Anolis sagrei: one gene and its partner. The protein of the gene in region 1 interacts with the protein of each later gene in a biochemical or structural test. Links are inferred from orthologs where the notes say so. Each region holds a gene or a part of one and is shown on either strand. Other genes may lie near its edges.

Region 1 (7,170 bases):
TATCGCATTCAACCACTGCAGTTAAAGTGGTGTCAAGTTGCATTAATTCTACAGTATAGATCAGGCCTGGGCAAACTTCGGCCCTCCAGGTGTTTTGGACTCCAACTCCCACAATTCCTAGCAGCCTACCGGCTGCTAGGAATTGTGGGAGTTGGAGTCCAAAACACCTGGAGGGCCGAAGTTTGCCCAGGCCTGGCACAGATGTACATCTAGATTTCTTTCTGCAAAAATTAAAAAAAACCCCAGCTCTTAGTCGAGCCGTTGTTATTCTCCAGGTGGAAAAAAGGCATTTGAAAAGACTTGTTGACAAATCATTAAAAAACACAACAACTTTCCTTGCATAGCTGAAGGCCTGTAGTTAAAAAAACAAAACCACAGAGTGGGAGACCAGGAAAAGTACCACAAAGGTCTGCGTTTACAGACATGTCAAGCATCTGCTAAAGGAGAGATTCCCCTTGAGATTACTGTCTGCAGACCAAATGATGATTTCCCAAAGACCTGTATCCCCTAAGGTCACTGTGTACAGCCCTTGTAATACAAAGAGACTTCTCTCTCTCACACAGGTTCTGCAACATAAACACCTAATGTATTGTTTTTTTAAAAAAATATTATACTTTCATCTTTTTTTTAAATGAGAAACTGCATGTCGCTTCTGGTGTGAGAGAATTGGCCGTCTGCAAGGATGTTGCTCATGGGATGCCCGGATGTTTTGATGTTTCACCTTCTCTCATGTTCCTGCATGGGGAGCTGGAGCTGACAGAGGGAGCTCATCGACGTTCTCCCCAGATTCGAATCTCTGACCTGTTGGGTCTTCACTTCTGCCGGCACAAGGGTTTAACCCACTGCATCACTGGGGGCTCCTATACTCTCACTTGATATAGGCATCTAACAATAAATAGAAAACAATGTGCCGGCAGGACTGAAGACCGACAGGTCACGGTTTTGAATTCGGGGAGAGCGCAGATGAGCTCCCTCTATCAGCTCCAGCTCCTCATGTGGGGACATGAGAGAAGCATCCCACAAGGATGATAAAACATCAAAACATCTGGGCATCCCCTGAGCAACGTCCTTGCAGACGGCCAATTCTCTTACACCAGAAGCGACTTGCAGTTTCTCAAGTCGCCCCTGACACGACAAAAAAATGCACATTAAAACAATGCAAAGGCAATAAAATATTTTTAATGGGAAATAAACCATTTCGCTGTTGAAACCATTCAACATTAAAATATTAAAATGAATTAAAACTCTACACTTGTTCCCCAGTGAGGCAATGGTTTAAACCCTTGTGCCAGCAGGACTGCTGACCGATAGGTCAGCGGTTCAAATCTAGGAAGAGCAGATTGAGCTCCCTCTGTCAACTCCAGCTGTGGGGTCATGAGAGAAGCTCCCCACAAGGATGGTAAAAGCATCAATCATCTGGGTGTCCCCTATCTGGTGTGACAGTCGATTCTCTCATACCAGAAACGACTTGCAGTTTCTCAAGTCGCTCCTGACATGAAAAAAACAAACAAACTTGTCTTGAAATTCCCATCATGCAAGTAGCTACATCTCATCTACGTAATAATACCCATAACAGTCTATAACAGGCATGGGCAAACTTGGACCCTCCAGGTGTTTTGGACTTCAACTCCCACAATTGCTAACAGCCTCAGGTCTCTTACTTTCCCCCCTCAACTGCTTAAGGAATTGTGGGAGTTGAAGTCCAAAACATCCTGTAGGTCCCAAGTTTGCCCATAACTAGTCTATAACAATGCAGCACCTAGGACCTTGGTTGTGGTCAATAGTAAAATAGAATAGGAGTCAACTGCGGTTTGCAAACTAAGGGTGCATCTAGAATTAATCTGCACTTTGACACCACTTTAACTGTCAGGACTCAATGCTGTGGGATCATGGGATTTGTAGTTTTACAAGGTCTTTATTGGGGTATGGGTATTAGTTTGTACAACTGTACCCTCAATTCGCTACTGGTATGATAAATAAATAAATGCTCTTTATTTGGCCCAAAGGGTGCTAGTGCTTCTCCAGATTACAAATCCCAAGAGAGATGGCAATTGGTGTCAATTAAAGTGCATTAAATCTATATAGTAGACGTATCATCCCTCCAAGAAGCGTCGGGCAGTGACTGAGTTAAAAAAACAAACCGACTGCAAAGTGTCAGCTCTCCTTTGGCTTTTATAACCTGCTTACTAACAACTATTTATTGTAAGGGGTGATCTGCAAAAAGCATGAGGCCTGCAAACAGAAGCTTAGGGTCAAATCCCTGCCCCCTTTTCTCTAAACAAAGAGGAGGGGAAAAATGTACACTAACAAGGAAAAAAACAGCTGAAGCAGGAGAACCACAGAAAGAGAGAGAAAGAGAGGAAAAAAGGGATGGAGAGAAAGAGAGAGAGAGGAGGATAGAGGAATAGAGAGGGAGGGAGTGGGAGAGAAAAAGAGATAGGGAGGGAGGGAGCAAAAGTGAGGAGGAAAGAGAGAGAAAAGGAGGGAGGGGAGAGGGGCAAGAGAAATAGAGAGGGAAAAGGAGGGAAGGGGAGAGAGAAAGAAAAGAGATAGAAAGGAAAAGAGGGATGGAGAAAAAAGAGTAACAGGAGGGAATGAAAAAGAAAGAAAGAAAGAAAGAAAGAAAGAAAGAAAGAAAGAAAGAAAGGGAGAGAGGAGGAGAGATGAGGGGAGAAAGAGAGAGAGAGAGAAAAGAAGGTAGGGGGAGAGGGGCAAGAGAAATAAGAGAGGGGAAAGGAGGGAAGGGGGAGAAAGAAAAATGAGAGAAAGGGAAAGGGGGATGGAGGAAGAAAAAGAAACAAGAGGGAATGAGGAAGAAAGAAAGAAAAGGAAGAGAGAGAGGAGAGAGAAACTGAGAGAAAAGGGGAGAGAGAGAAGGAGGGAGGGGAGAAGGGCAAGAGAAATAGAGAGGGAAAATGAGGGAAGGGGAGAGAAAGAAAAATGAGAGAAAGGGAAAGAGGGAGGGAGAAAGAAAAACAGGTGGGAATGAGGAAGAAAAAGAAAAGGGAGAGAAAGAGGGAGAGAGGGGGAATGAGAGAGAGAAAGGGAGAGAGAAAAGGAGGGAGGGGAGAGGGGCAAGAGAAATAGAGAGGGAAAAGGAGGGAAGGGGGAGAGAAAGAAAAGAGAGAAAGGTAAAGAGGGATGGAGAAATAAAGAGAAACAGGAGGGAATGAGGAAGAAAGAAAGAGGGGATGAAAGAGGGGGGAGAGGGAGGAAAGAGAGAAAAAGAGAGAGATAAAGGAGGGATGGGAGAGGGGTAAGAGAAATAGAGAGGGAAAATGAGGTTAGGGGAGAGAGAAAGAAAAATGAGAGAAGGGGGAAGAGGCATGTAGAAAGAAAGGAAAAAAGAGGGGGAAAGAAAGAAAAGGGAAAGAGAGAGAAAATGAGGGAAGGGGAAAAGACCAGAGAAATAAGGGAGGGAAAAGGAGGGAAGGGGAGAGAGAAAGAAAAGAGAAAGGGAAAGAGGGAAGGAGAAAGAAACAGGAGGGGATGAGGAAGAAAGAAAGAGGGAGAGAAAGAGAGGGAAAGGAGGGAGTGAGAGAAAAGGGAAAGAGAGAGAAAAGGAGGGAGGGACAAGAGAAATAGAGAGGGAAAATGAGGTTGGGGGAGAGAGAAAGAAAAATGAGAAAAGGGGAAAGAGGGATGGAGAAAGAGAGGGAAAAGGAGGAGGAAGGAGAGGAAAGGGAAAAAGAGAAAAAAGGAGGGAAGGGGGAAAGGCCAGAGAAATAAGGGAGGGAAAAAGAGGGAATGGGAGAGAGAAAGAAAAGAGAGAAAGGGAAACAGGGAGGGAGAAAAAACAGGAGGGAATGAGGAAGAAAGAAAGAAAAAGGGAGAGAAAGAGAGGGAGTGAGAGAAACTGAGAGAAAGAGGAAGAGAGAGAAACAAAAGAGGGGGGAGTGAGAAAGAAAAAAGTGAGTGAAAGAGAGGGGGAGAGAGAAAGAGAAAAAAGAGAGAGGGGGAGAACCATCCACAACTCTCTCTCTCTCTCTTTCAATAAGCCCCGCCCCTCCGAACGCTTTCCTCCAATCAGCGGCGGCGGAGGCGGCCGGGGAAAGTGACTGAGCCCGTTCTCCCAGCCGAAGGGAGCCGAGGACACGATACGCAGGACGGGCGAGGGGAAAGGGTTGCGGGGGGGGGGGGGGTGTCAAGCGGAGCGCGGTGGCTCATTTGCATGGCCCAATCGGGTGTCCGCATGCAAACGAGCCGCGCGGCGATTGGCTGCGGGGTTGGCAGGATAACTCCAGCCCGGGGAGCCCTTTGTCCCTCAGACCGGCTTTGGGCTCCGGAGGGAGAGGCGGCCTCTCTGGCTTGGTGGCAAGTGGCGCGAGGCTGCAACATGACTCTGGAAGAGCTGGCGGGGGAGCACCAAGCACTGGGAAGGTACTTCAAGGAAAGGGAGTTCTGGGAAGGGAAGGAGAAGCAGGACTTTTTAGAGCTCTCTCTCTCTCTCAAAGGTTGCATTCTGCCTTGTCTTCTGCAAAAGTGCCTGAAGGGGAGAAATACAGTGTGGGGTGTAGGGCAGAAAAGAGAACGGGGTGGCATATATAATAATAATAATAATAATAATAACTACATTATATTGTGATGATTCGTGCAATTTCCTTTTGAATTTCCTCCTGACAAGATCAATCCTCCTCACAACAACCCATGGATTGCTGAAGTTACTGACAGATCCTTATTGATCTGCAAAGTATTAGGATTTTCCCCCCAAATTGCATTGCACTAAATTGCATCCTCCCCCATTCAGCACCATTGCATTGCACAATGCAATAGTGCTGCGTGAGGGGGGATGCAATTTAGATGTTTTTTCAATGTGAGGGGCAGGAAAGTCAGGGATTTTTGTGGGATTTCCCCCCTCTTGACAGGATCATTCCCTTCAAAAGTCATACCTGGCTAAGCCCCAATTTACTAACAGCTCCTTATTTATCTGCAAAGTGTTAGGATTGCTTCAAAGGTCCTCAGGATGCAATTTAGATGTTGTTTTTTCAGTGTGAGGGGCAGAAAACTCAGGATGTGGAAGATTTTTGGGATTTTTTCCCCTTTTGGCATGATCATTCCCTTCCAAAGCCATACCTGGCTAAGCCCCAAGTGACTAACAGCTCCTTATTTATCTGCAAAGTGTTAGGATTGCTTCAAAAGCTCCTCTTTTATTAAAAAAAAAGCCCTCCTTGCATTGCACCACCTTTGCTGACACTTAAAAGGAACCCATTTCCCATAAAGTGTTGGGCTGTCTCTTGCCTGTCTCTCCACGTGAGAAGATCAAGGACTGCGGTTTCTCCAGAGACGCTGCTTCTTCCCTTTGGATTAATGGCATTTTTTTAAAAAAGTCTATGTTTTGCATGTCTGGGATGGGCTGGAGGTCAGCTTGAAGGCCAGGACGGCGGCGTATGGGTTTTTTTTTCCTTTGTGGTGTAACTTCTTTTTTTGGCTGACTTTTTTTTCTCCCTCCTTCTTTTTTGGGGACTTTTCCGTCAGCATGGAGAAAGTAGGAGACGCCTTGGAAGAAGTCCTAAGCAAAGCCCTGACTCAGAGAACCATCACAGTCGGCGTGTATGAGGCAGCCAAGCTGCTCAATGTGTAAGTGACCCTCTGTTGCCTGATTGATTGATTGATTGACAGTAATGACAATGTGTTGTTGAAGCTTTCATATCCGGATTGCTGTGAGTTTTCCGGGCTGTATGGCCATGTTCCAGAAGCATTCTCTCCTGACATTGCACCCACATCTATGGCAGTTCTTTCTCCCACCCTGGACATTCCACAGATATATAGACCTCTGAGGATAACTGTCATAGATGTGGGTGAAACATCAGGAGAGAATGCTTCTGTGACATGGCCATACAGCCTGGAAAACTCACATCACATGATGATGATAAGGATCAGGTCATCCCACTTATATTCAGCTTCTGGGATTGTTGGTATATCTCTTATTTTATTTATGTTTATCCCACCTTTCTCCTGATACATGGAGTCTACTTTTGCTTTCCACTTAAGTTGGATATTTCGTTTATATGGGCCAAATAGAAAAAAAATCCAGAGATCTCTAGTTAAGTGGTCATAACCACACCAATGTTTGGTCATCAAGTCTGTGTGTGTGAATTTGTTTATGGACAATTTTTCAGAAGAATTCCTGCAGAGTTGCGTTAAGTTTTCCAGGCTGTTGTTGCAGAAGCATTCTCTCCTGACATTTCACCCACATCTATGGCAGACACCTCAGAGGTTGTGAGGGTGGGAGAAAGAACTCTAGTCTGCTTGAGGCAAGTGTGAATGTTGCAATTGGCCACCCTGATTAGCATTGAGTGGCTTTGCAGCTTCCCAACACCTCCCAACAAAGGATTCCCCCAGACAGCAACCAGCCAGTATTTAAAGCTGCAAGGCCATTCAATGCTAATCAGGGTGGCCAACTGCAACATTCACACTTGCATTAAGCAGAAAAGAGTTCTTTCTCCCACCCTGGACATCACACAGATATATAAACCTCATTTTCCTAATTTCCAACAGACCTCACAAGCTCTGAGGATGCCTGCCATAGATGTGGGTGAAATGTCAGGAGAGAATGCTTCTGTAACATGGCCAGAAAAAACTCACAGCAACCCAGTGATTCCAGCCATTAAATCCTTCGGCAACACAGAGTTAATGCAGTTTGACACCATTTTTAACTCCTGTGGCCCAATGCTATGGAATCATAGGAATTATAGTTTTACAAGGTCTTTATCCTTCTGTGGCAAAGAGTGCTGTTGTCTCGTCAAACTACAACTCCCGGCATCCCATTGCATTCAGCCATGGCAGATAAAGTGATGTCAAACTGCATTAGTTTGCCAGTGCAGCTACACCCCCCCTGTCTCTCTTTGACTCGCAATGCAAGCCTGGCAATGGGATTGGCACTTTTGAAAATGTGGCTTTTTTCTTAGTGCTCAAACATAATCAGATCCTCTTTTGAATAATAATAATAATAATAATAATAATAATAATAATCCTCACTGGATTCCACTTTGAAGCAAACCAACAACCATTTCCCATTGACTATGGGTTGTGTCTTTGTGCGAGCCCATGTGAGAACTGGGTTGTTGTAAGTTTTTCAGGCTGTATGGCCATGTTCCAGAAGCATTATCTCCTGACGTTTCACCTGCATCTATGGTAGGCACACTCAGAGGTTGTAAGGTGTGACCTCTG
Region 2 (7,121 bases), on another chromosome or scaffold:
TAATAAATTGAATGTATTTTCTCAACACAGGTAAATCTTACTCTAGATTCCCAAAACACCATAATCTGCTTACCTGGGAGGTTCCAGTAATCATGTTCTTGATGAAGTCTCTGTGTCCAGGGGCATCAATGATAGTGACATAGTATTTGCTTGTTTCAAACTTCCAGAGTGAAATGTCAATAGTGATACCACGTTCACGTTCCGCTTTCAGTTTGTCCAACACCCAGGCATACTTGAAGGAGCCTTTGCCCATCTGTTTATTGAACAAGAAAAAGGCAATTAGATTAACACATCTTACAGAGAAGTTAACTGTTGCCAGAAAGAACTTGCTCAAGACGTCAAGCATCAAACACACTGAAATGTAATACACACATTACTATATTTAGCACAGTTTGGCAGAGGCAGTGTGAGATTCCAAATCTGTTTTGCTTACTTAACCCAGTGACACTTAATACAGTGCTGAACTGTTTAATTACTTAACAGCTACTTCAAAGCTTACAGATGTAACAGCCAAATAACTGACAAGATACATGGCACATTCACTGGCTCCTCCATATATTTTCTATGTCCATTTAACTTGTGAATTCTGCTAAGCATCCCATTCTAAACTAAAGCCAGAAGATTATTATATTTATGTAGCCCGGCAGGTTTTTAGGACCCCAACTACCAGAAGCCCTAGTCAGGTTGTCCCTTAGTCCAGAATTCTGGCACCTGGAGGACTACAAGACTGACATAGATACACAAAACATCTCGTGGTGCATTTTTAAAATTACACATTTTAGATGTTTACCATTTACAATTTACCACAATAAATGAACTCCTTAAATACAAGCAGAAGAGACTTGGGAAATCAAGTATACTGGTTGCATTGTAGTAGAGATTAAATAGTGTAGCTATAATGTAAGATCTGAGAGGCCCCATCTACAATGACCATTTAATGCCATTTTGATTACAGAAATCAGCCTGGGGCCTGGCGATTACCACAAACCAGTGATGTGTATAAAGGGCTTCCTTTTGTGTACTTTTCTGAGCGTTTCTTGCCTGGCTACCACAAGCCCCTACTACACTGCTATATAAAATCCATTATCTGCTTTAATAATGATTTATTGCATCACCACCACCCCATTACAGACTCAGGGCAGCTGCTTTGAAATGGATTATATGGCAGTGTAGAAGGGACCACAGTTTGAAGGGAACTGGCAAGGGTAGGTGGGGCCCTAGACTAATTTTCCCTTGAAACCTAGGGAACAGTCCTCTTAAACTACACAGGTTCACATCAATGTAGCCTTACATTCTCATCCTTTTTTATTCCATTTAATTTTTTTACATAAAGCACCAACATTTAATAAATTTAATATCAGAAAAATTAAAAGAAAAATTATAATTGATCAAAAATCCCTTGTTTTGATGTTAGACTGGAAATTACACCAGGGGTGCCATACCCACCTCAGCAGCTTCCTTCTCAAACTTCTCAATGGTCCTCTTGTCGATCCCACCACATTTGTAGATCAGGTGACCAGTGGTGGTGGACTTGCCAGAGTCGACATGCCCGATGACCACAATGTTGATGTGGGTCTTTTCCTTTCCCATTTTGGCAGATGAATAAGGTGGTTCTCGCCCGCTTCAGATAAAAAACCTTTTGTTTTTTGGGGGGATAAATAAAAAATCATTTAAAATTAAAATTAAAAGAGATCAGAGCCTGCTAATTAACAATACGCAAAAAGGCAAAATATTTATCTACTGCAGTGGTTCTCAACCTGTGGGTCCCCAGGTATTTTGGCCTACAACTCCCAGAAATCCCAGCCAGTTTACTAGCTGTTAAGATTTCTGGGAGTTGTAGGCCAAAATACCTGGGGACCCACAGGTTGAGAACCATTGCGTTAGAGGAAAGCGCGCAGGCAGATGCTGTTTGAGGTGTAGGCCTGAGCTAGGCCCGAAGCCTGCCTCGAGTTGCTCAACTCCACCCACCGCTCCAAGGTGGCGGCAGTGAGGAGGAGGAGGGGCGTTGCGTCAGCGGGGCGGAAACCCAAGCTCCCCCCACTCTTCCTCACCGAAGTCTTTCGCGTGTCGTCGTGGCCGCAAGAGTTTAAAAAGGCCCAGTTAATAAGGGGTTGAGGCAGAGAAAGAGGAAAAACTGAGCGAGGGCGGCTCGAGACTCCCTTTGTGTGCGAAGCCGCGCATGCGCACTCAAGGGCCCGGCTCGCGCTCGCTTCCTCCCTCCCTCCTTCTCCCTCCGGCCGGCACGCGCCCCGCCCGCGCGCCCTCCATTTTGTGGCAGCGACAGCCGCCGCCATTTTTTCCCCACAGCGAAGCGAGAGAAGGCAAAAGGCTTCTTCCCAGAGAACGAGAGAGAGGCAGGGCGAGAGGGAGTGCGGCATCAGTGGCTCCCCATGGAAAGGCGCCCCAATTACTCTGTGTAGTGATTACACACACAGAGTAATAGAAAAGAACGCTGAGTTGAATATGCAACAACGAGGGCGTCAGGAACGCAATTACAACGAAGGCCAGCCAATACAACCACACAAAAGGGGAGTGGGGATTGACGAGATGAGGAGCAGAAACAAAGCGTCGCGCTATCCTCAAAACGACAGCATTTCAATCCGAAATTGAGACACGTGTTTGCCAAGCTCGACACGGAAAAGCAAGACACGCGTTCCCGAAAAAGCTTTCCCCAAGCCCCCATTCCTTCCCAATCCCTCTCACAAGCCCCCATTCCCTCCCGACCCCTCTCACATACACGTAACGTGTGTACGCGCTGACACGCGTGTCCCATCCCCTCCCCCCACAAGTCCCCTCCCTTTCAGGCGTCGAACGCCATTGTCCCCGATGGAAACACGTGGGCCCCGCCCGGCCTAGGCCCAGGCCTCCTCCCCTTCCCGCAACACACGTGGCAGAGACTCACCTCCGAAGCAGCGGCAAACCCGTAGCGAAAAAGACCGAAGCGGTGAGCGGCGCCCTTTATATAGCTTGTGCCGAGGGGGCGGGGCTTGTAGGGCAGACGTCACGCCTCCCAGAGTTCCATTCGGCGCTCCGGGCTCCCTCCTCTCCTCCCGGCTCCCTGCCTCGCCCTGGACTACCCCTCCCACCGAGCACTCCCTCCAAGGGAGAGGGGGGAAATTCCCCCTTTGTGACGAAAGCGCGCTCTTTCTCTCCCCCTCCCCTCCCTCCGCCGCCTTGACAATCCTCGCCTGTGACGTCACGCGCGCCACCCTTCTGCCGCACAAATTTCCTGATAGTTTGTAGACGTTCCCTTTAGAGGCGAAGAATGAGCTGAGTGAGAGCAGTGGGGCTTCAACCACTTTCGCCCTTTGCCTTTCTCTGCCCTCGGCCATGTCCTCTCTCTCTCTCTCCTCCTCCTCCTTTCCCTCCCAGCTTCTAAACATTTTATCCTCTCGTCCTCTTTAAGGATCCTTCTTCATCCCATACTGAATCAATTAATTTATTTATCATACTGCATTTGGGGTGTTTAGGATGAAGAGGGATCCTTAAAGGAGAAGATGTGATATTTCAAGCAAGTGGCAGCAACAGTTGAGATCTTCCCATTTCCACCATGGGAGTCATCCTTTTTTGTGCCCCTCACTATACTCATCCATCCAGTCATTTATGCATACATACATATTTATATATGAAACTCATATTTTTGTGCCCCTCACTATACTAATCAATTCATTCACTTTACATATTCATATATGAAAGTCATCTTTTTTGTGCCTCTCACTATACTCATCCATTCATTTATACATAGTCATATATGACATTCCTCAGCATCACACTAAACTTCACTCTTCAATTTTCTGTGTCAAACCCCTTCTCCCAAATTAATTGGGATTCTAGATCTGTTTGACAAATAAAGCTGCCCAAAATGGCACTCTCAGTGTTACCTGATGAGATACAAACTTTCACTTAATTGGTGTTCCATGAGATATACTTTTTTCTTCTTTTTAAATTCTCCCTCCTTCCCTTTTTGTGTGTATACACACACACAGAGATTCTTGCTTATCCAACCTTTGTTCATCCAACGTTCTGTATTATCCAACGTATTCTGCTTCCCATCCGGATCCACAGCTGTTTCAATACATTGCGATGTTTTGGTGCTAAATTCCTAAATACAGTAATTACTACATAACATTACCATATATTGAACTGCTTTTTCTGTGGATTGGTTGTAAAACATGATGTTTTGGCGCTTAATTTGTAAAATCATAACGTAATTTGACATTTAATAGGATTTCCCTTAATCCCTCCTTATTATCCAACATTTTTGCTTATCCAATGTTCTGCTGGTCTGTTTATGTTGAATAAGTGAGACTCTACTGTATATACACACGCACGTACACATACACACATACTTGCAAAGATATGTTGGATAATGCATTTCTAAAAACTGCAGAGGAAAATCAGCCTGTGTTTTAAATATTAGTAGCTTGGTAGCTGGCATTGTCCGGGTTATTTGAAAAGACTATTTTTTAATTGTACAAAATACATAAGGTAGTGGGTAAACTACAACTCACATTATGCCAGGTTAACCCCAAAAGCTCCATCAGTACTTAAAAGTTTGTTATGTTGGGCAAGTTTCTTCTAGGACAGTGGTTCTCATCCTATGGGTCCCCAGGTGTTGTTTTTTTTGGGGGGGGGAGGGGGGTTGGTGGCCTACAACTCCCAGAAATCCCAGCCAGTTTACCAGCTGTTAGGATTTCTGGGAGTTGAAGGCCAAAACATCTGGGGACCCACAGGTTGAGAACCACTGGTCTAGATGCATCATTGATGGGGTTCAATTCGCTCTCTGGCTGTAGGGTAAACTACAACTCCTACTATGGTGAGTCAGTCCCCTAAAACCCCTCCAGTAGGTTGTGTTAGTCATGGGGCTTTGAGCACCAAGTTTGGTCGAGGTCCCTCATTAGTGGAAGTCACAGTTTCTCTGGTTGTGGGTGATCTACAACTTCCAGAAAGGAATGCCAACTCCCCCAAACCCCTCCAATAATCATATTTCCGCATATCAGGTCTGTGTGCCTAGTTTGGTCCAGATCAATCGATGTTTGGGTTTACAGTGCTCTCTCGATGTAGGCGAACTACAACTCCCCCAAATCAAGGTAAATTTCTCCCAAATACCTCCAGTATTTTTTGCTGGTCATGGGGGCTCTGTGTGCCAAGCTTGGTTTAATTACATCTTTAATGGAGTTTGAAGTGTTTGTTGATAGCAGGTGTACTATACATCCCAGTACCTACAACTCCAAAATGTCAAGGCTAATTCCCCTCAAAACCCACCAGTATTCAAATTTTGACATATCAGGTATGCATGCCAAGTTTGGTCCAGATCCATCGCTATTTAGGTTCATAGTGCGCTCTGGATGTAGGTGAACTACAACTCCTATAAATTGCTCCAAGTCCAGTATGTTTTGTTGGTCATGGGGGTTCTATGTGCCAAGTTAGTTCCAGGTCCATAGTTGCTGGAGTTCAGAGTGCTCTTAGGGTGCAGGTGAACTATACATCCCAGTACCTACAGCTTCTATAAATAATAGTGAATTCTCCCCAAACCTCTCTGATCAATTCCTCTGCTTCTGTGTGCTAGAGAAAAGAATAGGAAAGGGTTAAGGGAGAGGCAGTGGGTGGGGTCATGCAAATTCCACACTAATGGAAAGAGTCAGAAATACTGGGATGCCTGTGGTGGAGGAAAAACAGAAACTCTAGGGTGAAAATGTACCCATATGAAAGCTTTCACTTGGGTGGTGGGCAGGCTTGTGTTTGTGGAAGACACTGACAGGGCTCGTGGTAGGCCCGTAGCCAGGATTTCATTTCGGGGGGGGGGGGGGGCTGATTTTTTTTCAGGGGGGGTTTTGGGGGGGGGCTGATTTTCGGGGGGGGGCTGAGTCTGAGTGAAAGAGGGTCTAGCCTAGCAAACCTTTTGTATCATTACCCCAATATCCCCATGCATATGGGATATATTGAGTATGGTGATCAGATCATGATATGAATAAACATAACAGTTTAAATAATGCACCAATAAGGCCTTTTCGCGAACCACCATGAAAATTTCGGGGGGGGGGGGGGGCTGAAGCCCCCCGAGCCCCCCCCCCCCCCCCCCCCGGCTACATGCCTGGCTCTTGGGCATGTTCATGGTGCTCTCTATAACCTTCAATGTCACTGGAGGGAGGGCCATTTGTGTCTCCTGAGCAGTGGGAGCTATAGCTGTTTGTGGAGGCAGGAGCTTGTCTCTGTAAGTGGACACCCTAGCCACATACACACATATATATTATGTGGATGGATAGATAGGTAGATAGATAGATAGATAGATAGATAGATAGATAGATAGATAGAAAGATAGATGATAGCAAACCTATGAATGTGATTTTTTCCCCCAAAATTATACATCTCTCTTAAGGCTGCAACATTTTATTGTCCTGCTCTATTCTCATTCTGTCCATGTGGACAGAATGTGGACAAACAGAGAGTGCATCTATATTGTAGAATTAATCTAGTTTGACACCATTTTAACTGCCATAGCTGAACGCTAAGGAAGCGTGGAAGTTGTAGTTTGGTGAGGCATCAGCATTCATTGGCAGAGAAGGTGAAAGACCTTGTAAAGCTACAAAACCCATGAACCCATGGCACTGAACGGTGTCAAACTGGATTAATTCTACAATGTAGAGGGCCCAGAGTGGTTTCCAGTTGCCAGAAAGGTCAGGTAAAACCGCCTTTTATCACTTTTATGCTGAATATATCCTACCTAAAACAGGAGGAAAGAGGAGTGAACACTGAAGGAATATCAACAATTTAAGATATGCAGATGACACTATACCACTATGCAGGGGGGGGGAAAGACTCGGAAGGGTTATAGAATAAAGTCACGAAGGGAAGTGTAAAGGATTGGGCAGCTTCATAAATTAATAAAAATTATGACTGCAGATTATTTACATAACTTTCAAGTAGACAATCAATACATTAGCCTCTTTTACACTGTCATATAATCTAGATTATCAAAGCAGATGATTCACATTATCTGCTTTAAACTGGATTATATGAATCTACACTGCCATATAATCCAGTTCCAAGTAGATAATGTGGATTTTATATGGTGGTGTAGAAGGGCCCTAGAAGGGGTCTCAATGCAAGTTCCCATGGCC

Evidence for each region.
Region 2: the proteins of GADD45A (region 1) and EEF1A1 form a complex in vitro, tested with the Homo sapiens proteins (2 studies listed by BioGRID). The link is inferred for Anolis sagrei from reciprocal best matches to the Homo sapiens genes GADD45A and EEF1A1.

Annotation. Positions count from the first base shown.
Region 1 is NC_090024.1:164,764,237-164,771,406, reverse strand, and holds the start of GADD45A (growth arrest and DNA damage-inducible protein GADD45 alpha), read left to right. Parts: upstream 1-4,152; 5' UTR 4,153-4,171; coding exon 4,172-4,380; intron 4,381-5,475; coding exon 5,476-5,577; intron 5,578-7,170. UniProt on the Homo sapiens protein: In T-cells, functions as a regulator of p38 MAPKs by inhibiting p88 phosphorylation and activity.
Region 2 is NC_090021.1:111,735,993-111,743,113, reverse strand, and holds the start of EEF1A1 (elongation factor 1-alpha 1), read right to left. Parts: upstream 3,006-7,121; 5' UTR 2,903-3,005; intron 1,637-2,902; 5' UTR 1,591-1,636; coding exon 1,447-1,590; intron 254-1,446; coding exon 74-253; intron 1-73. UniProt on the Homo sapiens protein: Translation elongation factor that catalyzes the GTP-dependent binding of aminoacyl-tRNA (aa-tRNA) to the A-site of ribosomes during the elongation phase of protein synthesis.